Linked DNA regions of Nothobranchius furzeri. The protein of the gene in region 2 interacts with the protein of the main gene of each other region in a pairwise test. Links are inferred from orthologs where the notes say so. Each region holds a gene or a part of one and is shown on either strand. Other genes may lie near its edges.

Evidence for each region.
Region 1: the proteins of trim32 (region 2) and ptcd2 interact in binary tests that used the Homo sapiens proteins (3 or more experiments, as listed by UniProt). The two-hybrid records come from large-scale screens. The link is inferred for Nothobranchius furzeri from reciprocal best matches to the Homo sapiens genes TRIM32 and PTCD2.
Region 3: the proteins of trim32 (region 2) and CAP-Gly domain-containing linker protein 4 interact in binary tests that used the Homo sapiens proteins (3 or more experiments, as listed by UniProt). The two-hybrid records come from large-scale screens. The link is inferred for Nothobranchius furzeri from reciprocal best matches to the Homo sapiens genes TRIM32 and CLIP4.

What each region holds. Positions count from the first base shown.
Region 1 is NC_091746.1:61,740,110-61,751,168, reverse strand, and holds ptcd2 (pentatricopeptide repeat-containing protein 2, mitochondrial), read right to left. Parts: upstream 6,655-11,059; 5' UTR 6,638-6,654; coding exon 6,523-6,637; intron 6,121-6,522; coding exon 6,028-6,120; intron 5,957-6,027; coding exon 5,827-5,956; intron 5,740-5,826; coding exon 5,622-5,739; intron 5,544-5,621; coding exon 5,465-5,543; intron 5,393-5,464; coding exon 5,301-5,392; intron 5,192-5,300; coding exon 5,078-5,191; intron 4,999-5,077; coding exon 4,924-4,998; intron 4,848-4,923; coding exon 4,734-4,847; coding exon of another isoform or gene 4,730-4,733; intron 4,409-4,729; coding exon of another isoform or gene 4,406-4,408; exon of another isoform or gene 4,360-4,405; intron 3,315-4,359; coding exon 3,093-3,314; 3' UTR 2,475-3,092; downstream 1-2,474. Other genes in the region: cacfd1 (calcium channel flower homolog), read right to left, coding at 254-384, 1,273-1,481. UniProt on the Homo sapiens protein: Involved in mitochondrial RNA maturation and mitochondrial respiratory chain function.
Region 2 is NC_091746.1:55,647,736-55,658,537, reverse strand, and holds the start of trim32 (E3 ubiquitin-protein ligase TRIM32), read right to left. Parts: upstream 5,101-10,802; 5' UTR 4,151-5,100; intron 2,175-4,150; 5' UTR 2,163-2,174; coding exon 129-2,162; 3' UTR 1-128. UniProt on the Homo sapiens protein: E3 ubiquitin ligase that plays a role in various biological processes including neural stem cell differentiation, innate immunity, inflammatory resonse and autophagy.
Region 3 is NC_091758.1:40,949,926-40,960,900, reverse strand, and holds the start of CAP-Gly domain-containing linker protein 4, read right to left. Parts: upstream 6,655-10,975; 5' UTR 6,473-6,654; intron 6,467-6,472; exon of another isoform or gene 1,577-6,466; 5' UTR 1,553-1,576; coding exon 1,513-1,552; intron 1,248-1,512; coding exon 1,101-1,247; intron 282-1,100; coding exon 142-281; intron 1-141. Other genes in the region: cimip5 (uncharacterized protein C2orf50 homolog), read left to right, coding at 7,161-7,288, 7,366-7,405.

The DNA of each region.
Region 1 (11,059 bases), about 6.1 Mb from region 2:
ATCTATCTCACTCTCAGACGGAGCTGGCTGTTTTCTCAGACGGTTGAGTTCATGATCACTTTATTTAAGAATAAACAGCTAATGATGAGTAAGCAAGCCCACAGAGGCTGCTGCAGTCAGATCAGTCTGCTCTCAGCCTCACAATTAACGTAAAGTCGAGAGAAAATGACAAAGATTTCTCACACGTGTCAGAAAATAATTAAACTACGTGTAGCTAAAGGTTTGGCTTGTGTGGGATTGCTCATCTACTTACATATTCCTCCCAAAACGCCGGCTATCTTGCAGAGCCATCTATACCACCAAGTCATGCCATCATCTTCAGGAGTAGCGGCTTTGTTGGGGGCTGCTGTCTCTTCGGTGCTCATTGTGTTGCGTTTCCTAAAGCTACACAAAACCCAATTTCACAAATACCCGTTTTTCTTCAGTCTACTTTCTTCCTCCCTTTGTTTTCGTGTCTGATGCCGGGTGTCACCAGCAGCTTCTCCCGTCACTGGCGACTAGCTAAGCGGCTAGCTGATGGTCAGAAGCATCGCCACCAGCTGCCGCTAGGAGTGGATATCACGTATCCTCGACTCTCATTCGGTCTCTTAAACTGAAATAAAGAACTTTAGTGCGCTTCCTAACTATTTCAACAAGTTAACACAAGTCTGGTCCGGTAGAAATGAGCGGTTTAGTTGTTCTTCAGGGACGTAGCTCTGCTCTGCCCGACGGGCGCGGTGCATTGTGGGAGGCACTTGATGTGCGTCATATTTGTTTACATGAATGCTGTAAAGTATGTTTAACCCTTAACCCTCCCACTGTCCTGATGATGGGTGTGCTCAGTGGTCAACTTTCCTCGCGGGGTCACCCATAAAGACAGTGGGAGGGTTAAAGGAATGGGGTGATCTTTTGTTTTCTTAGATAAGAGAATGGGATGAAAACTTCCCAATATTGATAGATTTTGTGAACAATTGTTAGTCTCTAACAACAAATCAGATTTATTTTTACAAAGGAATTGTGTGTAAAAAAATCACAGATGAACACGTGCGTGTGTGTGTATTTGTCTATGTATCAAAGTGAGGACCAATGACAAGCTTTTTACCTGCAAACTGAGGACATTTTCCCTGGCTATCACTTTGGTTAGTGTTACATAGCTTTATTCATCAGTTTCAGGTATGGTGTGAATTAAGGCCTAGTCCACACGTAGCCGGGTTTTTTTAAAAACGAATATCCGCCCCTCCAAAAACTTGCATCCACACCACCGCGTTTTAAAAACAAACTGTCCACACGTACCCAGATAAATACGTTAAGGACATGCCAGACCTGTAGGCGGCAGTACTTCCCCCGTTCTTAACCTCATCCTTCGTCTGTGGTCTTCCGCAAGGAGCAGTAATTCCGCTTGCAAAAACAAACAAGCAGAAAGCGCTTGGACAATTGATGGATCGGGTAGTGACAGAGCGCAGCTCTGAAGGCTTCCGTGATGCCGGATAGTGTAAACACATGTCGCACACGTGATGTCAGCATTTTTGTGTCGCGGAAAGTGACGTTGCGGACCTTAAAACTCCGGTTTTGTGTCTGTCCACACGCAGACACCCAAAACGGAGAAAACGCAGATCTTCACTTTGGCCGGAGTTTTTAAAAAGATCCGTTTTCGTGTGAAAAAACTCAGTTTTCGTGTGGATGACAGGCCAAAACGTAGGAAAATATCTACGTTTTGGCAGATCCCCGGCTACGTGTGGACAGGGCCTAAGTTTAAGTTAAGGTTAGGGTTAGGAATAGACTGGGTATGGTTAGGCACAATCCAGTCAGTAGAATGAATGGACGACGGTCCTCACAACAAATACAAGACAAGTGTGTGTGTGTGTGTGTGTGTAATCATCACACAACTAAATGTAAAATGAAATTTAGTTAAACTGGGAATAATATCTTGAAATTTAGAAATAAAAGCAACTTATATTTCAAAAGGAAAGAAATATACTTAAATAGCATCCACAGTATGGGGTTGGATATATGCATAAAAAAGATGTGGTCAAAATGCTCACTTGTTTAGAAACTGTACACAAAGCACAATGCTATACCGGTAATTATAAAACCACATTCATAATATTCTTAAAAGTTAAATAACAGCTATTTGTATTAAAGGATATCTACCCACTGCCCAACATACCTCATACAGGACTTTCAGAAATCACTGAGTTATGTGTTTCAGAATGAGAAATAGAAAAATATCCAAAATAAAATATTTACTTGGTTGTTTAAGGTGCACCTATAAACTTAATGTCCTCCAGATAGCTGCATTAAACATTTGTGCAACAAAAGAAAGTGAATTAAATGTGGAAGATAAAAAAATAAGGTTTAAGATTTGAAAACATCAAAAAACCTAAACTTGGACTCAATTTCATTAATTTTTGTATAAATAAATATCCCTCTTCTCTCTTTGAAAAACTAAATAGATCTTTAAGATAATGACTTCAAATTGAGTGCACAACATGAAATAAACAAAAGCATTCCTTTATTCTTTTTCTTTTGTTTTTATTACTAAACCTTTCATACGTCGTCTCACACATCTCTCATTTACACTCCCAGAGTCTGTTCAAACACAGTTTCAGAAAAGGACTCCTGACATTTATCAGCAAGCACATCTAACATGATGTTTCTCTTCTTCCAGGGACCATTTTTAGTTGTGTCAGGAAAGCCACGAGTCCAAAGACATGCCTGCAGACTGTGGGTGTTCAGGTTGATAATGTATCTGCAGATTACCAACACCACTCAAGACTATATGCTACCTTAGATTTACATATGCAATTTAAATAAAGTACCTGCCAACAACTTTAAATGACACAAGTGTGAACTTAGTCAGATTTCTTTAAGGGCAGCTTAGATATAAGTTAGTTACAGCTGATACTCTGTTGTAAAGGGTGTGGAAGTTTTATCATGTAGAAGGAAAATAAAATGGTCATTCTAGTGCGTTTTTCTCCTCTACATCTTTGTGCTTGCTTCAGAAGTGAATCTAGAACACTGATAATAGAAATGAGGCAACAAGAAGAGCCCTGACGGTCCGTATCAGCTCACGATGAACATACAGGTCGGCCGATTCTGACTTGGTCCAGGACTCACTCTGATAACAAAGTGAACTGAAGAGGTCTCAGAGTCCTTCGGCTTTTCCTGCTCACCTCCTCCAACAGCGCCGGTTTCCTCTTCCCAGTGGGGGCATGACACAGCATCTCATCAAGGGTTTGCTGAGTCACTTGACCGCCTCTTTCCAGCTGAGTTACGATCTCGTCTACTTTCCCTTTAATTGGCCTGCCGTCGCTCCGCAAACGAAGCAAATCCACCTGAAGCAGCGATGAGAAGTCACGGAGTCGATTATCATTTTGTTCTGAATGATTATGAAACAATCTGGATGTTTCTCAAACTTGATGTGATTTTCCACTGACCGGATTACAGAACCAAGCTAACACTGCTTATGGGAGCATTCCCTGCATTTAAGTTACTTGTAGGCAGTGGCACCCTCAAGAGGTGGCCAGAAGGGGCCATAACCACCACTGGAAAAATTATTGGGCTCCCCACTCTTCCTCCAGAAAAGACCACCATGACATCACAGGGTGAGGTAGAGCACAGAGAGATTGCGCCTGAATGTGCTTCTGACGATAACAACTTCATAGTTTAACGCAGACCAAATTCTTTTACATCCAGAACTCAGCTCATTTTGATAAGAAAGCTCTGGCTGATATCACATCCACACATAGGTTCCAGACCTTACCTTTGGCTCCATCCATTCACAGTAAATAATAGTTAACTAAAGCTTGGTTTATGCTTGACGCATTCACTTTCCGCTTGGTGATGCGGCTCGCGGATGGAACGCGCTTCACAACTTGCAGCGTTTATGGTTCGTGCGGCTCGTCTCTGCGGTGAGCCAATATTCTCCCAAACTGTAGGGGGCAGCATGGAGCTCTACGGCATGCATCCAACACTACACCATAGTAGAAGTAGAAATTACTGTTTACAACACGGCATTTCAGCATTTTTAACAGCGTTCTCGTCTTTTCCGACAGTGCGAGCCATTTCTCTTCAAGAATTATTAACAACATGTTGATCACGGTGATCTCTGAGAGCTGAATCATACAAATGTCTGTATTTACGAACCTCTGCCATACTAGTTCTTGCCGGTCCGCCATGTTTTTCCACGTCGGACCGTCCGCGTGGTTAGAAATTTTCCTAGGTGCGCGTTGCGGAAATTTTGGGCCGTGCGGAGGCACGGTGGAGGGGCGTGGTTGTTAAAATGACGCAATTTTGCTGCGCGGAGCCGTGCGGACGCGTCAAGCATAAACCAACCTTAATTAGTCATGTTTTAAATTGTTAACAAAAATAAATTCTTACTTTTATAAACCTGACTCTTTCTTGAAGTAACACGAAGTGTGGTTGATCACTGAAAAAGAAAAGAACCTTCTTCTGAAATAAATCCTAGAATCTTCTGATTAATTACAATAAAGACCTCGCAGGTTAATATTTTATATTTATATAGAATATTACATCTTCATGGTCATAACAGATAAAATCGTCGATTTGCCTCCGCTACAGACGCATAGGCCTTTTGTTTTTTAATGAAAAATAATAAAGGAGGACTGCAATACACCACTACAGGCTAAACATTCCCACAGTTTCCACAGGGACCAATTTGGTCATGTGAAAATGTTCTGGGTGCACCACTGCTTGTAGCTAAAGACGTGAACAAGATCAACCTTTTTACCTACCACCTCTTGAGAAAACTCCATTTTCTTCACAAAAGTTGGGCTTTTAGGTAACATGGCTGCCGAGAGGAACGAAACTGCTTCTGTGACTTCTCCTGACATTGTTAGAATTACAACCTAAAAGACAAAAACAGTACATACATAAAAAGGTGAAGAAAATATTGACAATGGTTCCTTTAAATCTGCATTTTACCTTAAAATTTTGGCAAATTTTGCCCTTGGAGCTCATAATTTGTAAATATAGTGACTGAGCTTTTTGTAGGTCATTCTGGGGGGAAATACAAAAATATGTTGTATTAAAAGAATTAAAAGAAAAAAATAATACATGCATAAAAGATTCAGCTGACCCTTCTTAGAGCTAATGCCACAGCGAAGCAGTATGCATGTCGGGGGATGAAGTGCCCTTTGGTTTGTTCCTCTTCTATCAGACCAGTGCAGATCTTGTAGGACTCTGTAGTGTTCTAAGAAAACAACACAAGGTGCAAAAGCCTAAAACCATAAACTATAGAAGAGCTCACATCTTCAGAAGTTTATTTAAAAGAATTTGGATTAAATATTTGAAAGCATTACCAGCTTATAGCAGATAGCAGTCACCAGCGTCACTGTGTCTTTGTTAAATGGAACACGTTGGTCCCTCATGGTTCTTAGTACTTCCATAGCACCTGCGAACAATATAAAAAGTTATGTACGTGCAATTGTAACAGTTAAAAGTGCCAAATGTATCTGCCACGTACTTTCATAAGAACCTTTAATAAACAACATGTCAGCGGCAATGTTGAAGGATGTCGTGTCAATGAAAAATCCTTTCATGTCCTGCAAAAAAAATGTAAAAAATATTTCCTGTTTTACACATAATTTACAGCCATTTGTCAAACTTCTTATTATTCTTACATTATCTGTTATTGTTGCAGCAGCCATTTCCTCCAGACCCATCTCGTAGCAAAGTCTCATGAAGACAGGGCCAAACTTGAAATCCCCATACAACAAGTTACGGTTCTCTGCATTATACCTTTCAAGGTAAATCAAAGAATCAGATATTTCAGGAGCCTGACGAGAAGAAGGCTTCCCCTAGTTTGTTTCTGTGACAACACAACACCTGTAGATAGCATCCCTGGCTATCAGCATTTCCTCTGGAGTCTGACACAAGTGAAGGAGCAGCTTCAGCTCATCTCGGAGAATCAGCTCATTTCTTTGCATCTTTTGCTTGAACAGATCGATGTAATTTCCTGTGGAATGCAGGTAAAGATGTAAGATAATATCACATATATCCTCAGCTCTTGGATTTATGGTTTGTTACCTTCTGATCCTGTCAAAAGATGGGCCACAGCCAGCTTACTTTGCTGGAAACCTTGTAGTTTTACAACATCTTCAGACAATAAATGTCTCTTGGCTACAAGCAGGAGAGAAATGTGGAATAATCCATCACTGATAATGAAATACATACATTTATTCATATTTTTAAACAAATCACTTCCAAGTTTATGCCAAAACTTGAAATCAAACTTCAAAAACGTCTATTGTTTTGATGTGAAACGATTTAAGGCGGACTCTTCTTTACTTTACCAAATGACCTTTACAAGCAAGCAAGACAGAAATGTCAACATAGGTATTTCAAAATAAAACACGTCAACGCCTATCTTAAATTATTTTAATCTACAAGCAGTCCCATATTTAGTTTGTGAACTTCACTGACGTGAGGACTGTTGTTAGTTTGCTTCTCATTTTTGTACATGAACGCCTTATTATAACGATAATTAGATCAAACTGGACACTTGCTAACGTCATTTCTTACCTCCAACGCAGCTCTTAATCCAAACCGGCTGTAAAACACCACAGAAAAGACCTTTAGAGGGCTCAGACAGTAAAGACCGACAACATTTTCCAGCCAGTCTCCCTAGCAGCGCCATGACACTGGCCGACTGTACCACGGTGATCAGAAAAAAGGGGGTGTCGTTTAGAAGAAGAAGAAAGTAAATCACGAGGCGCTTATAAGAGAGAGCTTATGAGGGCTAAAATAAATTCTACTTCTTTCACAAATGCTTGAACATATACAAATTCCACAATAGAGGGAAAACAATGCCATTTCGGGAGTGGCTCTCGCCAGATATGTAGTCCCTATTTAGCCATTGGTATCTTCCAAGATGGCGCCGTCCGTCGATCATGCATAGAGGTAATGCATTTATTTTACGTATCTAACTTTATTTATATCAAAATAGCAATATTTTGTGATGTTGGAATCTACAACATGTTTTACTGTCTATGAAAAAAATCAACGAGTTTAGTTTCTGTATTCACCGTTTGGCCTGCAGGCGGCGCTATTATACCAGACAAGTCAGGGGCTGTTCAGTTCCTTCGGCTTTATTAAATACAACAGTGGTATCGTTAGGATTTTTATCTTTATATAGTTGAATTTCTAACTTGAGGGCATCACAAGAATGAAAAGAAAATTAGACAGGGTAATAAAAGTAATTATTGTAAATAAATTAAAATGCAGAAATATAAAAATACAGGTTACTCCTGCAAAAAGTTTTTGTATTTGCAGTTGTGTGGCAGCCTTCGTTATTTATGTCTGCACCTGAAATGATAAAGTGACGAATAATAATCAAACTGTCTTACAGAGGTGTGACCAAGTCACTGCTTTGCAAGTCACAAGTAAGTTGCAAGTCTTTTCAGTCAAGTCTCAAGTCAAAGACAAGCAAGTCCAAGTCGAGTCCAAAGTCAGTGATGTGGAAGTCCAAGACAAGTCCAAGTTAAATGGTCTTTGAATTTTCATGACATAATCAAGTCATCTGTCAAACTTCAATTTAATGACAATGATAATTAATAAATTCCAGAAATAAAGCTTCATAAAGCTTCATTTATTTGCTCAAATAAGCATTCGTATATGTAAGTTTTGCCTTTTCTTGGGCATTTTTTCTTCTAGTTTCTCAAGAAAAACTGTATTTTTTTGGACACTTTCTTTTCTGTTTCTGGTGCTGTAGCTTGGAGGATTTTTACTGCTATTTTTTTAGCTTTTTTCACTTTTTGAGCATTTGTTATGATGCGTAACCATGGCAATAAGCTGTTTACAATCGAGAGCAGCTGATTAACATTGGAAAGGCTGAAATAATACCTCAAATGAAGCCACAAATCCCAAATGAGCTAAAACGCAAGATGCATGGGTGCAGAGCGGGAGCAAAACGGAGGCAGAGAAAAGGAAATTCAAACTATCTCTTCCATCGTTCATAATGGGCAATGTGAGATCACTGGCCAACAAGATGGAGGAACTCCAAGCCCTTTCAAGGACTCAAACAGAGTTTCGGCAGTTTCGGAACCTCTGGAGGAGATAATGCAAAGAAAGATTCTCCAGAGAATCAAGAAAATTATGGACAACCCTGAGCATTCTCTTCACAAGACTGTCCGACAACGGAAGAGTGTCTTCAGTCAGAGGCTTCTTCAGTTCCGCTGCAACACTGACTGCAACTGGAGATCCTTCCTGGCAACAAGTTACAGTTTAAAGTTTTAGTCCTGACCTATAGAGCTCAACCAGGCTCCAAGCTATTTATCTGAGTTTTTATCCCCACACACCACTTCACGGAACCTCAGATCCACATCTGAAAACCTCCTGGCTGTTCCTCGAACCAGACTAAAAACCAAAGGGGACAGGGCCTTTCAGTCTATTGCCCCCAGACTTTGGAACAGTCTGTCTTCAAATCTCTGTCTCTTGAAATCTGTAGAGGTCTTCAAAAAACATCTTAAAACTCACCTTTTCATCCAGGCTTTCCCCCGCTAAATATTCTAAAAGATGGCTTTGTTCTTGTTCACACCTTGACTTTGTTTTTACTCCTGATTTTGGTTACTATTGTTGTCACTGCTATTGTTTTTATGATGTATTTTTTGGTTTGACGTATTTGCCCTGATTTTACTCATGTTGTACAGCACTTTGTGATTTATATCTGTGAAAGGCGCTATATAAATAAACTTTACTTACTTACTTACTTACAACCATTGTAATATACAATAACTCTTTGATGACTTGATTATTATTATTATTCTGAGCTACTACAGCAATCGATTTCCCTCTGGGATTAATAAAGTATTTTTGAATTGAATTGAATTGAATTGAATTGGATGCTGTCGGGGCAGACGGCCCCTCTGATGGCGTTTCCTTGCCTTACCTTACTTGGCTCATCTGGACTCAGCCGAATATAAATTTTTACTGATGTGTGTGTGTGTGTGTGTGTGTGTGTGTGTGTGTGTGTGTGTGTTGCGTGTGTGTGTGTGTGTGTGTGTGCGTGTGTGTGTGTGCGTGTGCGTGCGTGCGTGTGTGCGTGTGTATGTGTGTGTGTGTGTGTCTGTATGTCTGTGTGTGTGTGTGTGTGTGTGTGTGTGTGTGTGTATGTGTGTGTGTGTGTGTGTTTCTGTGTGCGTGCGTGTGTGTGTGTGTGCGTGCGTGCGTGTGTGCGTGTGTGTGTGTGCGTGTGTGCGTGTGTGTGTGTGTGTGTGTGTGCGTGTGTGTGTGTGTGTGTGCGTGTGTGTGTGTGTGTGTGTGTGTGTGTGCGTGCGTGTGTGTGTGTGTGTGTGTGTGTGTGTGCGTGCGTGTGTGTGTGTGTGTGCGGGTGTGTGTGTGTGTGTCTGTATGTCTGTGCGTGTGTGTGTGTGTGTGTGTGTGTGCGTGTGTGTGTGTGTGTCTGTATGTCTGTGTGTGTGTATGTTTTTATGCTGTTATGAGAATTTGGGGTCATTTTGTAAAACACTTTGCTTGAAAAGCACTTTATAAATAAAATCTGATTGATTGATTGGTACACAGTTAGTTGGTAAACACGTTTCCCTGTAATATCAAGTTTTCGTTAATTAAAAAAGTAGATTGAGATATTTTTAGAGCTGACTATTTGCTTCTAATTCCCCATTAGCAATGTTAGCTCAACGATAGCCTCTAGCCTGCTAGAGTAAAACAAAAAGATGCCATTGCTCCTTAGGGGTACAAGAAATAGCTTCTGGGTCGCTCCTGTTACTGACTAACATACTGTCCACAACTCTGAAGTTTTTTGTCAGCTGGTGGTCGAATTACAAATGCTGGTGCAGCAGTGTTAGCTAACAGTGACTACATCCCTCTTCAGCTTTTTTAGAAAGAAGAAAGCCTGGCATCCAATCTGCTGGATGATAATGAAATCTGCTTCAGTGTAACCTTCCTTCTAACATGATTGAGACTTTAGCGTGTTCTGTGATTAATTCACTGTAAAAGTTTTACTTTCCAGCCAGCCTACATAGGTGGCCCCATGTGGATATATACGGGTACGCCTTATGAGTGCCAATAGGGTTTATCTGTGGTTTTCTATTGTAGCCTCACAGGGTGTTGCCCACAATGATTTGAATAGGCCCTTGTATGAGTCAAACCATCTAGGTCCCTCTGAAAACCCATGTAGGGCCTGTTAAAACCTATGTTGGCAAAAGTTTGTGGGCAAACCCCTGTGGACTCACCAAAGAGACCGAGGACAAAACCTGTGGGCAACCGTTTGGCTTGCCCATACATATCCATATGGGGCCCACCTATTTATGCTAGTTGGGTTATTGTACCTTTAAAGTGTAAATAAAGGTTCAAGGTCAAAGGTCAACTACAAAGTCAGCAGACAAACAACACAAAATGCAATGAGGATTTGGCAGGTTTTTCAATGATTTCCTATGGTGTGGTTTTTAGCTAATTACACCACCATAACTCACAATGCAATACCACACATCACATGACCAAGGCGGTCGTTTTGATGCACGCTTCCATTGGAACCACTTTTTTTTTTACCTAGAAGGTGGGAAAAGAAAAAGAATAAAAAAATGCAGTGGGTTTTATAAAATATTATATTGATGAAGATAAAAACCCAGTTAGTGGCCTAGATATTGTTCTTTTAAACTATGAAATCTTTAATAATCAGAAAATGTACCACATATCAAGTGACTTCACAATTAACCCTCTGGAGGCAGGCGTTGCAGATTAGCAATGTTAAAACCTACCTACCTGGTTATTCCACACACGTATTTCATGGACATTATTTAACTCAGAAGTACCCCTGAAGGACTTAGTTGTTCGTCCTCTTATCAAAACTTGGTTTGAGTCTGAGAGGGTTAAACACAACTGTGTTATCACAGACAATTGTGAGCAGAACAGCCTGTGATCGTAAAGTTCAGCCTCAGAAGAATATTTATTCCAGCTTAAACCAGAGCCTAAACTCTATCAATCCATAGATAACCAACATCATAATGAAAAATAAGAAAATTAAGGTTGCAAGTAGGTTAATTACACTGATGCACATCCGCCCACACCGTAACTTTCTGCCACTGAGGGTTTGTGTTCCCAG
Region 2 (10,802 bases):
TACGAGTTTACAAATGTGGTGTAACAATGAAAGCCAGGGAGGCAATTGTTTGGATTTAATCTACACTAAAGCTTCCTTTCTCAAAGGTCAATTCTGACCAAACCTACTGAACTTGTTCAGTTCATCTTTTAAGTGGAAGAATGCCTCTTTTGAATGTATGTATAGACTTTAACACAGTGGTCCCAGCAATCTAGTACTAACAGCTGCCCTTTCTGGGTAGTGGCAACCCCCACAGGGCAGTTCAGCCCTTCTCGGATCAGAATATTAAATCCACCTTCTTTGGGAAACTGCAGGATTTCTTTTCTACCACTGTCTGTAACCAGCAAGTCCCCGTTGGCATCCACACACATGCCAGTGATACAGCGGAAGTCCTCGGTCTCTGAGAAGAAATGGCTGAGTTGTTTGCCAAGCTGGCCATTGGTGCCCACTGAACTGATGGAGAAGCCACCCTCCAGGTGGGGTTCATTCTGCCGCTTCTCAAAGTTCAGGGCCAAGCCCTGGGTGAAATATACCGTTCCTGCTGTGTCACACGTCACAAACTTTGGCCGCACAGCAGAGCACAATCGGTTGTAGCTGACTACGCCTACGTTGCGGTCCACAGCGAGGCACCACAGCTTGCCCCCTTCCACATCTGACACCACAAACTGACCTGACGGCATGGCAGTAATCCCCCATGGTTTGATCAGTTGGTTTTTGTGGCTAGCTACATAGTGGCCATCCATTGTGTAGACTTTTACAGAGTTATCATAGTTGTCAGTGACACCAATCAGGCCTTGTGGTGTCACAGCAATTGATAAGGGGTTTAGATTTGGCAGGTCAGCCCCAAAGAAGCTCAGGACAAAGTTGTCAATGCTGGCATTACGTCGGATTTCACGTGGGATACCTTTGCGATTAAAAATCTGGACACGGCAATTTCCACGATCAGCCACTAGTACATCACCTTGTGGCGTCACACAGATGCTCACTGGTAAATTAAACATCCCAGGTAGAGCTCCCTTACAGCCCATCTTCTTTACAAATTGGCACACTGGTGGTCCTGAACTTGCTCCAGCAGTTGATCCTCCTCCTTCATCCATGGACTTGGACTTAAAGCTGCCTGGTGAACCACATACCGTCTCCTCTACTGCAGAGACCATGTCGACATCCCTGTAAAGATCCACCGGAACCTTTACAGCACCTCCTGTGGCACCTCCTGGCCCAGATACACTCTCAAATACAGTCTCTGCACCTCCATTGTCTTCCTCTGTATTAATGACGCAAGTGTTTGTGGTTAAATGCCCCACTTCTAGAGGTTTTGATTGCTCTATTCTCACCAGCGCCGGCTCTTGAAGCTGAAACTGTGTGGATAAACTGCCCCTCAGGTCTAGCTCTTCATCGTCACTTCCTGCACCATCATCTTTGAGCAGGGCGACATCACTCTGCCTTACTTGCACAGTCAGATAATCACAGCGTGACACCACTTTTACTTCTGCGAGGTTGAGAAGATACGTTTGTTCCTCCAGGACCTGCGCATTGAGTTTTTCCACTTCTCCCAACGAGGCTGTGAACAGCCTCCGAGATCTGCTGAGCTCCCCTTGAAGATGTTGCTCAGCCGCGTTGTACTCCAGCTGAACTGCCCGATATTTTTGTCTCAAGGTCTTAGAAATATTTTCAATCGCCGTCTTCTTCTTTTGAATTTCACCCATGACATCCCGGAGAGCAGCCAGCTTCCCGCCCAGTTCTTTACGACGCTGCTCAGCAGCCACCTTAATTGGCTGAACTGAATGACCTTCATGCAGGTGGCCCTCACCTTTACACACTTCACAGAGAACGGTAGAACAGTCGTGGCAGTACTGTCTTGGTAGACGGTTGCAGCAGGACTTGCACATTAGTGCAGCAGCAGCAGCACTGCAGGACAAAGTGCAATCTATAATTTTTAGCACAGTTAGATTATCTGCCAGCTGAGAGATGCTGCTCATCCGTGAGACTTTGCTGCAGAAGGGGCAGCGAACGCCATTAATAGTATTAGCCAAGAGTTTCTCGAGACATAGTCGACACACTGTGTGGCCGCACTGCAAAAGTTTAGGTCTCAGGTGGTCCTGATTGTAGGTCTCCAGGCAGATGGGGCATTCAAGAACCTCCCTCATTAGATCTGGGTCCAGTTGGGAGCACGACGCTGCCATTATGGCCTTTTCCTTGAGTGGAGAGAATGGAAAGAAAACAGGAGGGGAGATGTAAATGCAAATGTAAAATAGTTCACAACTAACAAATGCAGGAAACAATGCAAGAATAATCATTGTGTTTCATTTATAGAGCCCTGTAAAATAGAAACAAGTCTGTCTTAGACTTAGATGAAAATGTAGACCTTTTACATTTTCATTGTGGAATTATTAAAAATTTAAAGCACTGAGAAAAACTGAATCTGGAAGGAAAAGAACTATATGACACAAATTATAATGCATTTCTATGCAATGTATTGAATGTGTAATTTGGGATCTGAATAATCGCAAAATGATTTAGTTGACATAAACAACTAGTACAATTATTTGACACAATGTTTTGCAAGCATGCTCATGTTGAGATCCTTCATGTGAAAAATGCAGACAAAATTGTAGAAGGAATGCTGAAACTTGCATATTTTGTCAATATCTATGAAACCTATAAACAATGTTTATGAATTTAGAAAACAACTTTGAAGTAAGTTTTATTGGAACTTAATTGATTGAAAACGCAAGAAAACGTAAGCGTTGGAAAGTTGAGCCTCATCAACGCAGAAAGCACTTATGCTAGCTCACTTTCGTATGACAACTTTTCAGCAGAAGACAGCCAGGGGTTCAAAAAGACTATTTTGAACAAAAAATTTAAAAACAACATTATAAGCAAATTAACTGTGTTGCACCCTCGGGGACTTCCAACGACTAAATATGTAAACTACGAAACAGCAGATAAAACGAATTCCTGAACATCATCAATCAGCCAAACCTAGTAAATACAACTAAAGTTTACTTACGTAAAAGTTCATATGCAAAAAGTTTCTACTTAACCAAAGAAAAGACTTTCTTTACTCCCATGTGAGACACTTCAGAAAAGGGAAATAATTTATTTTTAATTATTTACAGGCAGATTTTTAAGTTCCTTAATAAATTAAACATTTTTTAAACATCGATTTTTATTAAAAATGAGTCAACATTCATGATATTTTGAGTGTTTTTCCATTAAACTGGTAGATAACTAACGTGATGGAATATTTACCTGAATAAACTTGATGCAATTATTATTATTATTTTTCCATAAACAAGCAGCCCTAGTCCCACATTTGCCATGCCTCACAGCTGAGTGTTGTATAAAACTAACAAATTATTACCGCATAGCACAACATCTATAATGAAAAGCTTACTTTGATGATGTTACTTGAGTAAAAACTAATTAAAATGATACATATTTCACATCAGAAGTAGTACATACAAAAACTTAGCAAATATTGGCTGTTGTTTCTGTAAAAGGAAGATTCCAATGAGTTTATGTACATAAAGCTAAAAGCCACAAGTCCTATCAATGGTAGTTTAATAACTGAACGCCAGCCGACTAATCAAGATTAATGATTCAGTATTTATAGTTAAACCTTTTGGTTTTGTATGAGCTGAGGCTGATGGATATATTAAATAAATTTCATCATTTTACCACAGCCAAGATCTAACGTTGCTATGCTAGCACTTTCATGATTGATATTAGCACAGGTAGCTAATAAGTCACGGTGTAAATAAAGGATAAACTCAGCGATAAAAAGGAAATAAACTGAAAACAAGTCGCATCTGGAGTCTGGTTTGAGATGAAATATTGCTGTGAAGTGAAGCTAAATAACGAATAATGTAAGGCTCTCTGAAATCTAACCGATAAACGACGTGATTTAGTCACGCACCAACTGGGCAGGCTTAAATAACGTTCCCACTATTTTGTTGTTAAACACTAATACATTTTGCAGTTTATGCAAAGAGCGAATAAAAACGAGGCCTCTTCACATCACAGCAGTTGTTGTCATGGTGGTACTTAAACGCAACGCGACAAATGAATGTATTTTCATTCAATCACGGGGCTAATTATGCATCCATGACTTAAACAAAATGTTCATTTTTAACGTTTCCTTGTAGGCATTTCTGCTACGTATCCTTACCTTTTCTCCGGTGCTTGCTTAGATTACTTTGGGTGTGCAGCCAGCCAGCTACAGTAGCTGCTAGTGAAGAACTGCAGTGTTGACGTTGACGACTCCTCCTACGCAGACGGCGTAAATTACGATGCAAAGCTCCGTTTGTTCTGTCTGATTGGCTGGTGCTGGACACGTGTTTAACGCATGATGCGTCAATTATGCATATTATTACCAACAGATGGCAAAAATAGTATACAACTCACTGCATATTAAAGTGAATGCCGTTTAACTTGGTTGAACTGGTAAACTAAGCTGAGGAAGAGACCCTCAGAGGTGAAAAATGCTTCCTGAACATTTTTTGTGAACGTGTTTATGAGGGTGGTTTGTAACTACAGGTAATGGCCACTAGATGTCAGTATATATCTACTAGATTATGTTCATTCAGTTATTCTTTGGATCATGTTTTTAAAACCTAGAAGATGTGTCTAGTTTTCATCAGAAAAAGAAAAATATTTCAAATTGCTATCAACACACCAGTTTGAAACACTTGTCGTTTTGTCTCGCATTTTTATTTGTATGAATCATTTAAACTATTCTGTCTCAAAAATAGTTACCGTAAATCCTCTAATACAGGCCCGGGCCTATATTTGACTCAAGCTCATCAAGCTCCAGGCCTTTATTGGAAGGAGGGCCAGAATTAGAGGCAGGGCTCAATTTCTATTTGAGCAAAATGAACTAATGGTTCGCTGGAGTTTTTGACAATTAAAATTGTGCCCACATTTTCAAAGTTAAACACATTTCTTTTAACAACGGTAGTTTCTGCTTCAGCCCTCTCCCCCCTCCCCCTGCGCAGCGGCCGCAAACTCACTGATGCGCCTGCAGCCTCTCGGAGTTCCTGCTGCTCTAAACATTAAAATAATTATTTCATTTTCTGTTCCTCACTTCTGATTACCTTCAATGGTGTCTGTTTGTTGCAACCACCAGGTACAAATCTAACTTGTTTTTATTTGACTATTTTTCTGTCCTGTATCTGTTTATTATCTTCCTGCATCTCCTCTCAATCCTAAAGAAAAACTGCTACCTGGGTTCATATTTATTCACCTTATGAGTTACCTTTGAACTGCAGTTCTAAAAGATCTACGGACCGCAAAAACAGCGGAGTGCGCGCTGCTCGCCAGCCACATCAGTTAGGTGCATCACCGAGGACAAAACAGGTGATGCGCCCCGATCCACAGCAGCGAAACGCATCAGGCACAAATAAAAGAATAAAAGACAGAAAACATAAAAGGAAATGAGCCGACATGAACAATCGCATGTTAAATTAGTTTTTGAGGTGGCGACACCTGATTTGATAATGTTACTGTGGCCGTGCTCAGGACACAGATGTCTGGAGCGCGTCAACAATCAGAGCTTTGCATGCGCAAGCTGGTTAAGGTTAGGATGGGGGTGAGGGGAAGATTAAATCGCAAGAGGGTAAACGTCACAATTTGGTTAAATGTCCGTTTTACGGTGGGTGTCAGTACTGACGCTCTGTCACAGCGCGTTGCCTCCCGACGCGCAGGAGCTTGTCACCTGCTGACAGCAGGCTGCTGTCTTTTCCATGGACTGCATCTTGCCGGTCATTATCACGTGACAGCGACTAGTCGATGACAGGCATAAAAAGTCACTATAGAGCGGTGAAGTCGACTAGTTCATACAACCCCTGCTACTGCTCCCCAGAGTGTTCTGCAGCATAATCAGCACGTTCTCTTTGAACTTGAAATCAAATTTTTGCCTCCTCTTTGTCTCCGCACGGTTAAAGTTACCCTCGCGGTCTATCACTGGCAAATCAAAAGTGAGACGGATGACACAACCGCCCCCTGTACTTGCTTGTTACCACATTCCACCCAGCCACAATAAAAAAACAGCCATTATTCACGTCCGCCGACTCCGACACCGGCCAAAATATGATACTGGCAGTTAATTAAATACAGGCTAATATTAGAGGATTTACGGTAAATTGGTTTAATGAATCTGATCCAGCACAATTGTTTATTATAGCAATAACATCACCACAAAGTGCTGCAGAGATCATGTGTACAGATACATCACATGACACTTCCTTATACCTACTCCACATGAACACATGAATAGGAAAATAAAAACAATATGTAAAATAATAATAATACTAATAATAATAAACATATGTTTTATATAGCGCTTAATATAACTACTTAAAAACAGTGTGTGTATATATATATATATATATATATATATATATATATATATATATATATGAGAGAAGAGAGAGAGAGAGAGAGAGAGAGAGAGAGAGAGAGAGAGAGAGAGAGAGAGAGAGAGAGAGAGAGAGAGAGATCTATGGTGCCCGTAGTCATCGGGGCAGTAACCCCCAAACTGGAGGAGTGGCTATAGCAGATCACAGGAACAGCATGAGACATCTCAGTCCAGAAAAGTGCAGCTCTAAGAACAGCTAAGATACTACACAGAACCCTCAAGCTCCGAGGCCTCTGGTAGAGGACCTGAGCTTGGAAGGATGAGACCACCCGTGGAGAGTGAAATGGGAATTTAAAAAATGTATACACATACACACACACACACACACATATATATATATATATATATATATATATATATATATATATATATATATATATATATGTGTGTGTGTGTGTGTATATGTATATGTATATATATATATATATATATATATATATATATATATACACTCAAAAAAAATATAAACGCAACACCTTTGTTTCTGCTCCGATTTTTCACGAGATGGACTTAAAGATCTAACATTCATTCCAGATATACAATATTACCATTTCTCTCAAACATTGTTCACAAATCAGTCTAAATGTGTGATAGTGAGCAGCTGTGTTTTGCTGAGATAATCCATCCCACCTCACAGGTGTGCCACATCAAGATGCTTATCTGACATCATGAGTAGTGCACAGGTGTACCTTATACAGGGAGTGCAGAATTATTAGGCAAGTTGTATTTTTGAGGAATAATTTTATTATTGAACAACCGTGTTCTCAATGAACCCAAACAACTCATTAATATCAAAGCTGAATGTTTTTGGAAGTAGTTTTTAGTTTGTTTTTAGTTTTAGCTATTTTAGGGGGATATCTGTGTGTGCAGGTGACTATTACTGTGCATAATTATTTGGCAACTTAACAAAAACAAATATATACCCATTTCATTTATTTATTTTTACCAGTGAAACCAATATAACATCTCCACATTCACAAATATACATTTCTGACATTCAAAAACAAATCAGCGACCAATGTAGCCACCTTTCTTTGCAAGGACACTCGAAAGCCTGCCATCCATGGATTCTGTCAGTGTTTTGATCTGTTCACCATCAACATTGCGTGCAGCAGCAACCACAGCCTCCCAGACACTGTTCAGAGAGGTGTACTGTTTTCCCTCCTTGTAAATCTCACATTTGATGATGGACCACAGGTTCGCATTGGGGTTCAAATCAGGTGAACAAGAAGGCCATGTCATTAGTTTTTCTTCTTTTATACCCTTTCTTGCCAGCTACGCTGTGGAGTACTTGGACGCGTGTGATGGAGCATTGTCCTGCATGAAAATCATGTTTTTCTTGAAGGATGCAGACTTCTTCCTGTACCACTGCTTGAAGAAGGTGTCTTCCAGAAACTGGCAGTAGGACTGGGAGTTGAGCTTGACTCCATCCTCAACCCGAAAAGGCCCCACAAGCTCAACTTTGATGATACCAGCCCAAACCAGTACTCCACCTCCACCTTGCTGGCGTCTGAGTCGGACTGGAACTCTCTGCCCTTCACCAATCCAGCCACGGGCCCATCCATCTGGCCCATCAAGATTCACTCTCATTTCATCAGTCCATAAAACCTTAGAAAAATCAGTCTTGGGGTATTTCTTGGCCCAGTCTTGACGTTTCAGCTTGTGTGTCTTGCTCAGTGGTGGTCGTCTTTCAGCCTTTCTTACCTTGGCCATGTCTCTGAGTATTGCACACCTTGTGCTTTTGGGCACTCCAGTGATGTTGCAGCTCTGAAATACGGCCAAACTGGTGGCAAGTGGCACCTTGGCAGCTGCACGCTTGACTTTTCTCAGTTCATGGGCAGTTATTTTGCGCCTTGGTTTGTCCACACGCTTCTTGCGACCCTGTTGACTATTTTGAATGAAACGCTTGATTGTTTGATGATCACACTTCAGAAGCTTAGCAATTTTAAGACTGCTGCATCCCTCTGCAAGATATCTCTCTATTTTTGACTTTTCTGATCCTGTCAAGACCTTCTTTTGACCCATTTTTCCAAAGGAAAGGAAGTTGCCTAATAATTATGCACACCTGATATAGGGTGTTGATGTCATTAGACCACACCCCTTCTCATTACAGAGATGCACATCACCTAATACGCTTAATTGGTAGTAGGCTTTCGAGCCTATACAGCTTGGATTAAGACAGCATGCATGAAGAGGATGATGTGGACAAAATACTCATTTGCCTAATAATTCTACACTCCCTGTACTGCCCACAATAAAAGGTCACCCTGGAATATGCAGTTTTTTGCTTTATTTGGGGTCTGGGGACTCAGAACCGGTCAGTATCTGGTGTGCTCACCATTTGCCTCATGCAGTGCAACACATCTTCTTCACATAAAGTTTATCAGATTGTCAATTGTGGCCTGTGGAATGTTGGTCCACTCCTCTTCAAAGGCTGTGATCATTTTTAGAACTTTTTTTTCTTTGTTGTTCTTTTGTTTGTTTTGGGCAAACATGTCATGACTTGTGGTACAATTCTAATAAATAGTTTAGCATTACAAATTACAGTGTTGTCTGAATTGAATCTACTGAAATGTTTTGCAGTGAAGTAAAATTAATAAGCTGTTGCTAGACTTTGACCATTTTCAGCAAATATTTTACTTAAATGAGTAACTATTTTTATCATCTAGTATAACGTGACACAATGTATCACATTTGAAATTACAAAGTAAAACAGAACAAAAGTATTTTCTGTTTTAATTCAATTCAATTCAATTTTTTAATCCCAGAGGAATAGAGTTTCAGTACACACAATTCTGAGATCAGACATACATACAGGGATAGAAAACACGACAAGAATTGGTGACTGTGGTCATTCGCAACCCGAGTTGTGCTACCTTAATAGAGATCAGAGGGGTTTATATATGAGGATTGAGTCAGTGGAGGGAAAAAAAGGCACTTCAGAAAAATGTTTCAAATTGCTATCAACACACCAGTTTAAAACACTTGTCGTTTTGTCTCGCATTTTTATTTGTATTAATCATTTAAACTATTCTGTCTCAAAAACAGTTAAATTGGTTTAATGAATCTGATCCAGCACAATTGTTTATTATAGCAGCAGCATCACCACAAAGTGCTGCAGTGGTCCTGTGTGCAGGCTTTACTTTGATTTACTATACTCTTGAGTCATTAGAGGACAAAACTGTCCCTAATGAAGCCTGAGAGTTAAAGTGTATGGTAGCTTGTATTTTGTTCCAATAAAACTCACCTATGCTTTTGGCATTTGCTTAGTTTGAAGTAAAACTTAAATACACAGAAAACTTTGTGTAGTTGTGGCTAGAATTGTTGTCTCTCATCAACAAGGTGTCTGAGTCAGCTCTTGGCTCTGACCTGTTCATGCTAGATTACTTGCCACTGCTAAATTTAATTTGTGAGTGAGTCAGAGGTTGTTTGTTGTTGTTTGTCTCTTTATTGACCCTGTGATCCGTTCAGGATGTGACACAACTCTGACGGCTGAGTGAGCTTCCAGCCACGTCACAACCCAGTGTAAGACAAAGCCAGTACAGAAAACGAGTGAAAGAAAAAAAGCAATAAATCTATCCATCTTTTTTATTACTTGCCCAAGACCAGGTCGCAGGGCAAAGGCTGTGCAGAGACCCCAGACCACCGTCGCTTCAGCTTCCTTGACACTAGACTTCCCAAACTAGTCGTAAAACAAAATCTCTTCAAAGACTCCTTAATCTGCCTGACAGCCATCCCAAAGTGAGGCAACCAATAAAGACCTATCTTAAAAAGTTATCAAATTAACTGAACTGATAATTTTGTAGTAAAATCATCACTATTATTCGTTTTGACACAAAATGAGCAATAACCAGAGGTGTGGACTTGAGTCACATGACTTGGACTCGAGTAAGACTCGAGTCATTATTTTAATGACTTCTGACTTGACTTGATAAAATCTATAAAGACTTACGACTTGACTAGGACTTGAACGCCAATGACTTACAACTTGAATCAACTTGCACCTGTTAACTTGATGATGACTTGAGCATATTTGATATTTTAGCACAAAAGTGGCACAACATGGACAAAACTCATGAATCATTCTTCGTTCTGGGTTTTATCTTGTGCTGCTAAATGCAGTAGCACTTTGTTTATAATCAAGCTCAGTTGCACTTTCTGCTTGTTTGAACAAACAAATTAAGCTTTAAGAAGCTTTATCACTGGAATGTATTTATCATCATTGAAATTGGACAGATGACTTGATTATGACTTGAAAATTCAAAGTTCAGGACTTGGACTTGACTTGGACTTCCAAATCATTGACTTTGGATTTGACTTGGACTTGGTTTTCTTTGACTTGGACTTGACTCGAGACTTGACTGGAAAGACTTGTGACTTACTTGTGACTTGCAAAGCAGTGACT
Region 3 (10,975 bases), on a different chromosome or scaffold from region 2:
TGCATTGCAGGTGCATCAGATAGAAATAGTTTGTAAGCGTGTCGGCAGGGAATCCATCAAAAAACAAACATTCAGAGTTTTACTGTGAGGTGGCTTTTAAAGCAGCCTGGAGCTGCAGCAGCAGAGCAGTGGAAGGGTCACCTCCATGCCGATGACGTCTATGTTCTTCTGAACCTGGGGCACCCACTGCCTGAGGACGGCGAACAGCTCGGGGATGGTGGTGTTGGGATCCTGAAGGATCTCTTTGCACTGCGCCTCGCTGGGGTCAAAGAAGGAGAACTCTGGAGGTGATGAGAGGGACAACCACAGTTAGTTTGTTGTTCCAGAGCGCGTGAGTGAGACTCTGCACGGCAGCAGCCCGTTAATCCGTTCACCTTAAGAAAGACCCCCGCTGTCCTGCAGCAGCGGGGGCAACCACGTGTCGACAGACGGCCCACGGAGGCTGCTGCCACCAAAGCAGCAAAGCTAACAATAGAACTCAGCCGGATTTTCATTTCACACCAAATGAGGACTTTTAAATAATCTACATGCTTCACTGGAGCCTATGGCGAAAACAGCATCAACTCCTTCCGCAAGCATCACTCACACGTTTGAAGATGGAGGACTTTCTGCTGTTAGAACGACGACGTAAGCAGACATCTGCAACGACGTCCCAGAGTAAAATCTGAACGATTTAGAGGCTGTGAAGGATCACCTGGGGTCCTGGTTGGAAAATCAGTCAACAGCCAAAGGAGATCAACGCTGTGCAAAAGTCTTGAGTCGCTTTAGTTTTATTTTGACAAAAATCAAAAGTTCTGCAGAATTTTTTTAAATCCAACAGTTTTATCTGTTGTTGAACAAAGTGAGATTTGTTAGCGAAGCAGGAAAAATAAACACAAAAGTGTTGAGATCTCATCGATCTGTGGTGGAACGTCTGCTGCAGCCATCCGATTACTAAACACAACAAGATCCAAACACCCAGCATTCAGACAACACTTCAGTAAATGTTAGCATCTGTTGTCGTTTACCACATTCTGGTGTGTAAAAACAGAACTAGAACAGATTTCATAAGGTCCTGAAACCAGGAACATCACAGCTTTAGTGGCAGTTTGGATCCTCACCACAGTCATCGGGCATGGGTGCAGACGCCACCTGGTGGACGACGGCCCGCTGGTGCGGCGTGGGTCTGGTGCTGCAGCCCCGGACGGCGTCCCCTTCAACGGGCTCGGACGCTTCCTCCTTTGTCATCTCCCTCTCAGGGACAGAAGCTGGAAACAACATTAGAAAGTCTATTCTGGGAAGACAAGTAGGTCTGATTTCTTTATAAGAGCAGCTGAAGCACATCAGAGGTCTCTGAAGACAAGAGCTTCACTTTCTGAGAATAAATCTACATGTTCTAAGCTACAAGCTAATGTCAAAACATCAGATGGAAAATACCTATCTAACCCTAACACACACACACACACACACACACACACACACACACACACACACACACACAATTAGCTAACTGTCCTGCAGGCTGACACTCACTGCTTTCTTCTCCACCATCCTCCTTCTTGATGACCTCCATGAAAGCCTCCCGGCTGAAGCTTAGCTAAAATCAGGGGACACAGACCGGGTCCAGCAGATGAAGAACATCCAAACACAATCTCTTATAACACACCCTCTCTTTTCATTTACACCCTGTTGATCCCCCGGCTCCCAGGCTCAGAAGCCATTTACAGCCTGCACACTTTAAAGCTGTGGTGGTCTCACCTCTGACCTTCTCAGATAGAGTTTCACTCTCGCCGACCAGACACGGCACCGCCGACCCCGCCGCCAACAGATTAGCCCAACAGATGAGTCACGGCAGCGAGAAACTTGGCCGCGGGGTGATGGTGCAAATAAACACCGCAGGAGAGGGCAGCAGAGGGGTGGATGTGATTAGGACTGCCCTTTCAAAATAAAGGCCCGTCTAATTCCAATTTACACCCCACCCACTTCTACAGTCTTGTCTTTGCTCAGAACACAGAGGAGAGGAAATGGCCTCAGCAGGATGCAATTAACAACAAACATTTAAATGAACTAATTATCATTATTTGTACTTAATTATTGCTGCTGACAAGTGAATTAAAGTCCATGCATGAAAGGCAGGAGAAGCTCAGTGTGCACCTGATTTTATTATTTATTGGCCTACTGTACACCTCACTTTGCATCTCACTGTTTGATTTCTGCTTGTAGGATCTCCTGTAGCGTACTACTGCAGTCCAGGCAAGAATTAATTAGTATTATGATTATAGAAATAATAATTATTATAAGAATTACTTTTCTGTTGCCAGATCAGAGTTGGAAAGACAGAAATGTGTCGTTTGGGCTCTAAATTTAATTCAAGTTCAATTCAAGTTTATTTACATAAATCATGACAAGAGTCGTCTCGAGGACCTTCACACAGTAAACACTCCATTACAGGTCAGGGGTCTCATTTATCAAGCTTGCTTACGCACAAAACGGGGTCAGAAAACTGCGTAAGCAACTTTCCACGCAAACTTTGGGATTTATGAAAGAAAACTTAGCGGAAAAATGTGCGCAACTTTAAGTTGACTAAGGACCTGGCTTACGCTTCCTGGCTGCTGAGAAGGATAAAATGATGAAATCCTACAGCATTATCACTTGTACTGCTTCGTTTTCACACAGAACAAGACCCCCCACACGCACACTCACACACATGTGCACCTGCACACACACACACACACAGCCTGAAGCGCAGAATACGGAATGCTGAATATCAGCAGGAGGACAGGTTGAGACAGAATGTCATGCGTCTGTGACAGTGTGTGTCCTGTCACTGTGACCCGATTGATCATGCGCCCTGGCTACTTGTACAGGAGGGATCTCTGTTTGGCTGACTGGTTAACGCGTGTGACTTTCACCCGGGAGTCTGGGGATCAAATCCGGATTGGACCTTTTTTTTTTATATATCAGTTACAGATCTCTCTGAAGAACTCAGCATTGACGGCTTCAGCAACGCTGTGCCATTCCGTGGATTTTCTCTTATTTATTTTGCAAAAGCACTTCCTTTCATTTCTCCACCTCACCCACAGATACCTCAACTTCTGCTTGTGAAGTAGCGCTTCCTTGACCTGCGGTCGTGATTGAAATGCTGCAACAGCCGGCTTATGTATATGCATGAGATCCACAAGGCACTTTGCATTGTCTATTTAAGGCAGAAAGTGGGCGTGGTGAGGGCGGGATGTGACTAAAATGCAGCTGAGAAACATTCTCGTTAGTCTCTGATTTATGAAGCGGAGATTGCGTGCAGCTGTGCGTATTCCATGTATGATGGATCACAAACCTACTTGGCGTAAGTACATGTTTTAGCTGAGCTTAAGTACGGTTTTAGTACGGATTCTGCACAATTTTTGATAAATGAGACCACAGTTCATTAAGCCAAATCAAGAAAAAGTTTCCTGTATAAGGAACCCAGCAGGTTGCATCGAGTCACTGACTAGTGTCAGAGTCTTTACAGCAATCTTCATACTAAGCAAGCATGTAGCGACTGTGGAGAGGAAAACTCCTTTTTAACAGGAAGAAACCTCCAGAGGATCCTGGCTCAGTATAAGCAGCCATCCACTCGGCCGCGAACCTACCCAGCAAGAGCTGAAGGTCAGAGCTGGATGAAGCTAGGAGGACCACATCAACCGCAAAAAGCAGAGACGAGATTCTCCTGCCACCAAACTCGACACACTCCACACCACGGCTGCACCTAGAAATTCTGTCCATAAAGATAATGAACAGAATCCTTTAAATGTTTAAAACCTCAGATGAGCAAACTGCAAGTTTTCTTTTAAAAATAAATAAATAAACAAACAAACTCGGTTACCTAAATATCCTACAGCGCTTCTAATTTTCAAGCTAATTTTTGTAACATAATTACTGTAATACAGCAACACACTAATAAAACTGTCTTTTTGCCAAGTGCTGCACTGAGAGTGAAGAAAATGATGTTTTGAGTTCTGGAGTTTTTCATGCTTGAAGGATTTAGTTGAGAAGTTTGGTTTAGCAAACCCTCTGAAATGGTCAGGTACAGGTAGGTAAGTGGTGAAAAGGTATAAATAAGTGAATAATAAATAAAACCAGAACTTTGGAAGGTGAAGAGGACTGTTACTTGAAGGTAACAGGTAGGAAAGTGTGTTCAGGACTTTTACACAGTGCTGTGTGTACTCAGTACTATGGCTGCACTATATATAGTAAATAGTTAGAGCAGTATCAGTGTACACAATAGAAATACAAGACGCAGAACTTCTCATCTATTCTCTTTGAATAAAGTCTACTTTCCCTGGCTCATAAATGACTATATAATTTTATAAGTGTTATATAATCATATTTTGTTGAATAAACAATATGTTCAGATTCAAAGTGTTTTAATTCTGATTTGTTTAAATTTGTAAAGAGTAGCTAATAAAAATAGAGTTCACTTCATGAGCTAACGAGTTCACAGCCAGCTTACTCGGTTAGGCCGACCGGGTGAGCAAGCACTTGGGACCATCCTCTTTTGACCTCAAGGTGAAAGCTTTTCTGCAACGCTTGCGAGTGGTACCAGACACTACAGCTCCTCAGACGTGGAACGTCCAACTAGCAGACCCAAGCATCTCATGGCCGGTGATATCTGTATTCAAAGAGAGCTGCGACTCTGAGATTCCAGTAGCCACTGCATCCAGTGAGTGTCATCATCAATCTGGCTGCCTCTTCTCCTGACCACGGAGAGAGACCGTCCAAAACCGGTATTATATACCTGCACACTGGCGTCGGATGGTTTTTCATGAATAATCGATAGCTTATTAAACCATACAGTCATACTGATTTTAGAACCGTGACATCACAAGATCTCAGATACTTAAGGTTTTGCTACAAACACCTAACTTACGTTCCATCACTTAATTCATTGTCTGTTTCTACAACCATCATGTCATTCATAATTTGTCATGTTTAATCACTAGTTTAGGAAGATAGTTTATTAAAATGAATTTAATTCCATTTCCTCGACTGTCTGAAATAATATGGTGTGTGTTTCCCTGAATAGTCCAAACCTAAGTTAATATTATATTAAAAAATTCAAAGACCAAGCAGATTGATAATTCATAATATTTATATGGAGCATCACATCTTATTGATCATTTGATAAATGAAGCAACAATCCACCATACTGCAATTAAGTGTTTTGATAATAAAAAACAAACTTGAGTAAAAATTATAGCTTTATCTCAAGTTACAAATACAGTCAGAATATGTATTATTAAAACACATATTTTGTTTACTTCAGCTAAGAAATATCTACAGTCTGCAAATCTTGGAGTGTAAAGCTGAATTAGAAAAGATTGTTCACATTTTGGACTTTAAAAAGTTTGTGCTGTGAGGTGATGCTGCATCTGTGATATTTTAGAAGTCCGCTCCCCTTCTCTCATCTAGCTAAAGGCTTGCTTTGTTCTAATGAATTGTTGGATTTGTATAATTACTATAACCTGTGAGGCGTTTTGGTCAGCTCACATGCAGTTTTTAAATGTGCTCGATAAATAAACTGGTATGGTGGAAGAGACATCATCTAGAGCGGTATCTCTCTTGTTGTGAAGCACTTTGTGGTTTTTATCCTGTGAAAAGTGCTACACAAATTACTTACTTGTATGGTTTATCTAATATTGTGCAGTACTAAGCAGCAGCTTTTATATCTTCGTTAGGGTTAAGTTTAATTTGTGTGACATTTAGGAATGAAAGCCAGCATTACACCAAGGTCACGTGTTTGCTGCCTTGAGATTAGGACTTTGCAGTGACAATGACCTCCTTTTTCACTAAGCTTTCTGTGGCTGTCTCCTGTTCTCACTCAGTCTCAAACACTTGGCTAAACATGGCAGCTGTATGTTTACCACTGTAGCGATGCTACATGTGGATGCAGTCAGCTGTCCCTTTTCCTGAATAGTTCAACTGTATCAAAACCGAAGAGAAGACAGGAAGATGGAAAGTGGTCCAAATGTTCTCAGTTAGCCCACTAGCTAGCACAGCTCGTTATTTTAAGTCGCTCACGTGCTACATGCTGAGACAGACCCAATCAACGTAAACGAGAGCACCTGCGTGCATCCCGTTACTCTGCAGCCAAACATTACCTGTTGAAGCTACACAACTTGTTAGCATCGTTAGGTGATGGTGGACTTGGACTTTCTAGTATTAAAGGCTACCTGATGTTGGTTAACAAAACAGAAGCTGTGCCTCTTATTTCACCAAACTACGTCTCTGACAGCACAAATAACCACATAGCTATTTTAAAGCCCAAAAGGAAATGTTAATGTACATCAGTTAGCCAGTTAGCGTATGATCAAAAGTTGTGGGTTAAGCTGAGGTTAAGCACCAGTTAGACCACTATTTAACCAACTGCACCAGGTAGTATCCGGTATCTAACAACAGTTAAGACCAACAGTATTTCGAAAATCAAGCACTTTGTAGAAGTTGTTTCCACACTCACGTTAGCTCCTTAAATTAATGTTGGTTGGACCAACAAGCATCTCTACAAGCACTGACCGGATGTAGAGAAAATATTTTTTTCATTTAAGAGTAAAAAAGGTTTCGAAAACACGCGCACACATTACCTACAGCTCACAGCTCGTCTAAAATCATTGGTAGCTGGTTAAGCTAGTAGCGGATTTTTACTCCAGCAATCCTACCGTTTCCGGTCTCAACCTTCAGAGCAAAAGCCGCTAACACCCACTTCCGACCTTCGCAACAAAAGCAAATTAAGTCGTTGAATATTTTGGTAAATTTTGTTAAAATAAAGTTTTAATTAAATATATTCATATTATACGTGAGATGTATAGCTTCATTTTTATCCAAATTAATCCATAAAACAATGATGGATGGGTTTTTTTGTGTGTCGAAATAGATTAAATGCTAAAAACCCAGATTATTCATGATGGGATAAACAATATCTTTATTCAACTCAAAATTAAATTAAAATACTTCATGATTGTGAGCTTGAGTATCACAATTCACTAATAAAGAGCAGGAAGACCTTCAAAATTCCAATAAACTTGTTTTCATTTGGAATTAAGAATTTCTGCTAGCAGTTTCCGTGCTAACGTAAACACGTTAGAAACGGGTGATTACTTGTTTATGCTAGTTATTACTTGATCTCGCTTCGTTCTGCTGCCCCGGAAATGAAAATGGAAGGAGGAGCGTCGGAACCGGAGTCCCAAACGGAGAATCCCCGCTGTGTGCATCCTTCGAAGGACCCAGCCTACTCGGCCGACGTAAACATGTGGCAGATGCGCGCAGACCGGAAATGGTGAGTTTATAAAGTCCCTGAAAAAAGATGAAAAACGTTTTTATTCTCTCAGGAATAAATCCGAATGTGGTCCACAGGGAGAAGAAGTGGGGATTTCTCAGGACACTGGACTTCACAGTAAGGAATGAATCGTCGACATACATATATGGACAATGGGTTTCCATAGGCTCCAATAACATATTTTTGAAGATAAATGGGAGGTGGCCACCACCGCCATTTTGACCGTGTCACAGGTTCCGTCAAGCCCAGACAATTCCACAAAAGGGAAGAGAGGTGGAGCTGAGGGTGGGGCTGTAAGGCTGGGATCAACTGGACACCCGGTCGAACTAGCTACAAGCTAACCTGAAGCTAACCCAAAGCTAATGCGGAGGTGGGAGCTAAGCTAACGGAGGTAGCAACCTAGCTACAACCGGAGTTAACTGTGCACAACACCAGAGCATCTGAGTCAGAGATACGCCGGGCTGACCGCTGGGTAAAACCGGGTGGAACACAGAGGTCTCCGAGAGCTCCACAAGCTGGCAGCCGCACAGCAGACAAGGGCCGCTGCGGTCTGAGATGTGCAGAGCTGCTGCTGGGGAGAACCGGGTGGAAAGGTTTCTATCCCAGAGCACCACAAGCCGGTAGCCGCACAGCAGACAAGCGCCGCTGCGGTCTGAGATGTGCAGAGCTTCCGCTGTGGAGAACTGGATGGAAAGGTTTCCATCCCAGAGCTCCACAAGGCGGCAGCCCACGCAGCACACAGAAGCCGCGACCTGCGGGGAGGAGAGAACCGGGTGGAAAACAGAGGTCTCCCGAGAGCTCCACAAGCCGATAGTCGGAACCCAGCTCCACCAACATGTTATATTTCAACCCATTTTCTAAAATGCAGCATTGTGTAAAATGGGTTTTACCCTATTACATTTAAATTTCACGGTTAAACAGTACATGTTAAAATCTAAGCTCAGCTGGGCAGTGACCTAAAATACATAAATATAATTTTACTTACCGAAAAAAATGAAGTGGAGACTCCTTGGACGCTCTATTAGTGCAATTAATGCCACAGCAAGTCATTTTGTCCAACAATTGCACAAATAATATCCAAAACAGAATACACAAACACAGAGACTCAAAATCCCGGAACAGTTTCCAGGCCAGACCGAGGCTCTACTGAGGCCTTTCCACGGAGCTAGCTCTGTGGTCACGTGGGTCTGATGCTCATTAATTATACAGAATTTTAGGCTTTTAATACACTTAAACAGAAGAGTGAGAAAAAATTCACCCCCCTCAGAGTTGTCATGAGTGTAAACTAGATCATTTAAACCAAAAACATGTTTTGGTACCAGGCTGTAAACATGTTTATTTCTGCTGTGAAATTGGTATTTTTAACATGGGAGTCAATGAGGATTTGCTCGCTTCCGACACCAGCCCCCAGCGGATGAGGGTGGAACTGCAAGTTTTGGTACTTCCGGGTTGAGACCAATTTCTGAGCTGCATTGTGGGGGCTTGGAATGAATGAAGGAAGGAATATTTTATTTGGGACAGTGCATGTTAATGAAACATACATGTAGGGATAGTATGAATGTAAACACGCCAGATTGTGGCCTAGGGCTAATTTCCATCTGTAGTCCTGAGATGGTTGTCACATTAAAGTCCAGTGACGTTAACAAAGAGTTTGTTGACAAGGAAATAAATAAATTTAAAAAAGCCGTCAATAAGACACAAATATGAGATTCTGGGTTCTCTGACATTCAGAAAGTGGTCCAGGGATACTAAAAAGTGGTCCAATGGCATCATTTAAGTGAGCAGTGATAAATACTGAGGGATACAGTACGGTAGTAGGCCCATCGGTGAGGATAGCATAGTTCACATTTTTAGCATGCATTATTACAGATTTTGTGTAAGGAGTACACACTATTAGCATACAGGAATTGCATTTGTAGTGACAATATCTTGGTTTCATGATTATGTTTTTGCACCGTGGTTACATAGCTGATTTGACCAGAGCCATTTTTTGGTTTCCGATTTGAATGTGGCGAAGGTGGAACATTTTCCAATGGATTGGGGGAGGCTGTTCCACTGGTGGTCACCCTGTACTGAGAAGACTTTCTGCCCAAATGTTGTTTTTCTGTAGGGGATCACTAAGTCCCCGCGTGATGATGTGCGGGTGGCTCTTTTTGAGGTGCCATTGTATCTAATAAAGTCGCTTAGCGGAGGTGGAGCGAGAGAGTGTAGTACCTTGTATGTTAGACACAAGTTTTTGAGTTTGATTAGATTGTCTAAGCTGAGGAGTTTATGCTTTTTCAACACGTGGCAGTGGTGGTGAGCCTTGGGTTTTTTATCAAGCAGCTTTAGGCTTCTTTTTTATTGTGTTATGACCGGTTTTAGTGTAGTTGGGGAGTTGAGCGACCAAGTTGTCAGGCTGTATTCTAAGTGGGAGCTGATCATCGCGTGAAAATAGATCTTGGCAGTCTTTGTGTCTAGATTGTTCCTGATGTGGTTAAAGTTTTCATTATTGAACTTGAGCAGAAATGCATTTGATTTTTGTTGATTTAAGCGTTTTCCTTTCAAAATTACATTTGATTTTTGTTGTTTTAAACAACGTTTTGTGAAGTACATGCATACAGTTTTGGAGGTGTTTAGTAGGAGACAAGATTCATTTAACCAGTCGTAGATTAATGATGGAGCTACTGTTAGGTCATTACCAGCCTGTTCGATGTTGTTAGCTTGCAGGTATATGATGACATCGTCCGCATACATTTGTGTGTAGACATTTTTGCAGACGTCAGGTAGGTTGTTGATGGAGAGAGAATAATATTGGTCCAAGAACCGATCCTTGGGGAACGCCGGTCTCAAAGTCAAATTCAGTTCAAATTCAAAAATACTTTATTAATCCCAGAGGGAAATTAGAGTTTCAGTACACACAATTCTGAGATCAGACATACATACATGCATACATAGACACTTGACAAGAATTGGTGACTGTGGTGATTCGCAACCCGAGTCGCGCTACCGTAACAGATCAAGAGGGTTTATATGAGGATAGAGTCAGGGGGAGGGAAAAAAGGCACTTCACAGTTACCCTCAACAGAGAGGGTGGCTTTCCTATGCAAAAAAACACCTCAGACAGATATGCACACAGACTTCAGACATTACACAACATAAGTGCCCGCTAGGTGGGGAGGTAGGGTTGGGACTCTCCTCACTTCAGTGCGTGTAGCCGCATGGAGCAGCGCTCATCACCTCCATTTGGATAGGGGAGGGAGATAATGGGTTAGAGGGCACATTGACTCCTAGATACAGTTCCACGGCCTTCACCGGTCAGTCCCGCCCAGGCTGGGATAGGGGGAAAGAGTTTCCATAGCGACGGCAGCATTCCAAATTTCTTCTGAGGGGGGTGTTTTCACTTCAGCCTCACAGACTCAAGGGCACCAGATTCAGATAAGAATTGTTTTGGGGACAGACAGAGATAATTTCCTCTCTGCCTTAGAATTCTTTAGGTCTCCAACCCCTCTGGATCCAATAATGGTGTAATTAATCCATCCCAATCCGTGCTGATCCAGCACGCAGTCCAGATGTGTGGATTTTGCTCCATCTAAGGCCACGTACTGTTTACGTTCACTTAGGTAGGAGGCAAACCATTGAAGAGCTCGGTTGGAGATGTTAAATTGAGTCAGCCTGGATAATAGCATGCGATGGTTAACTAAGTCG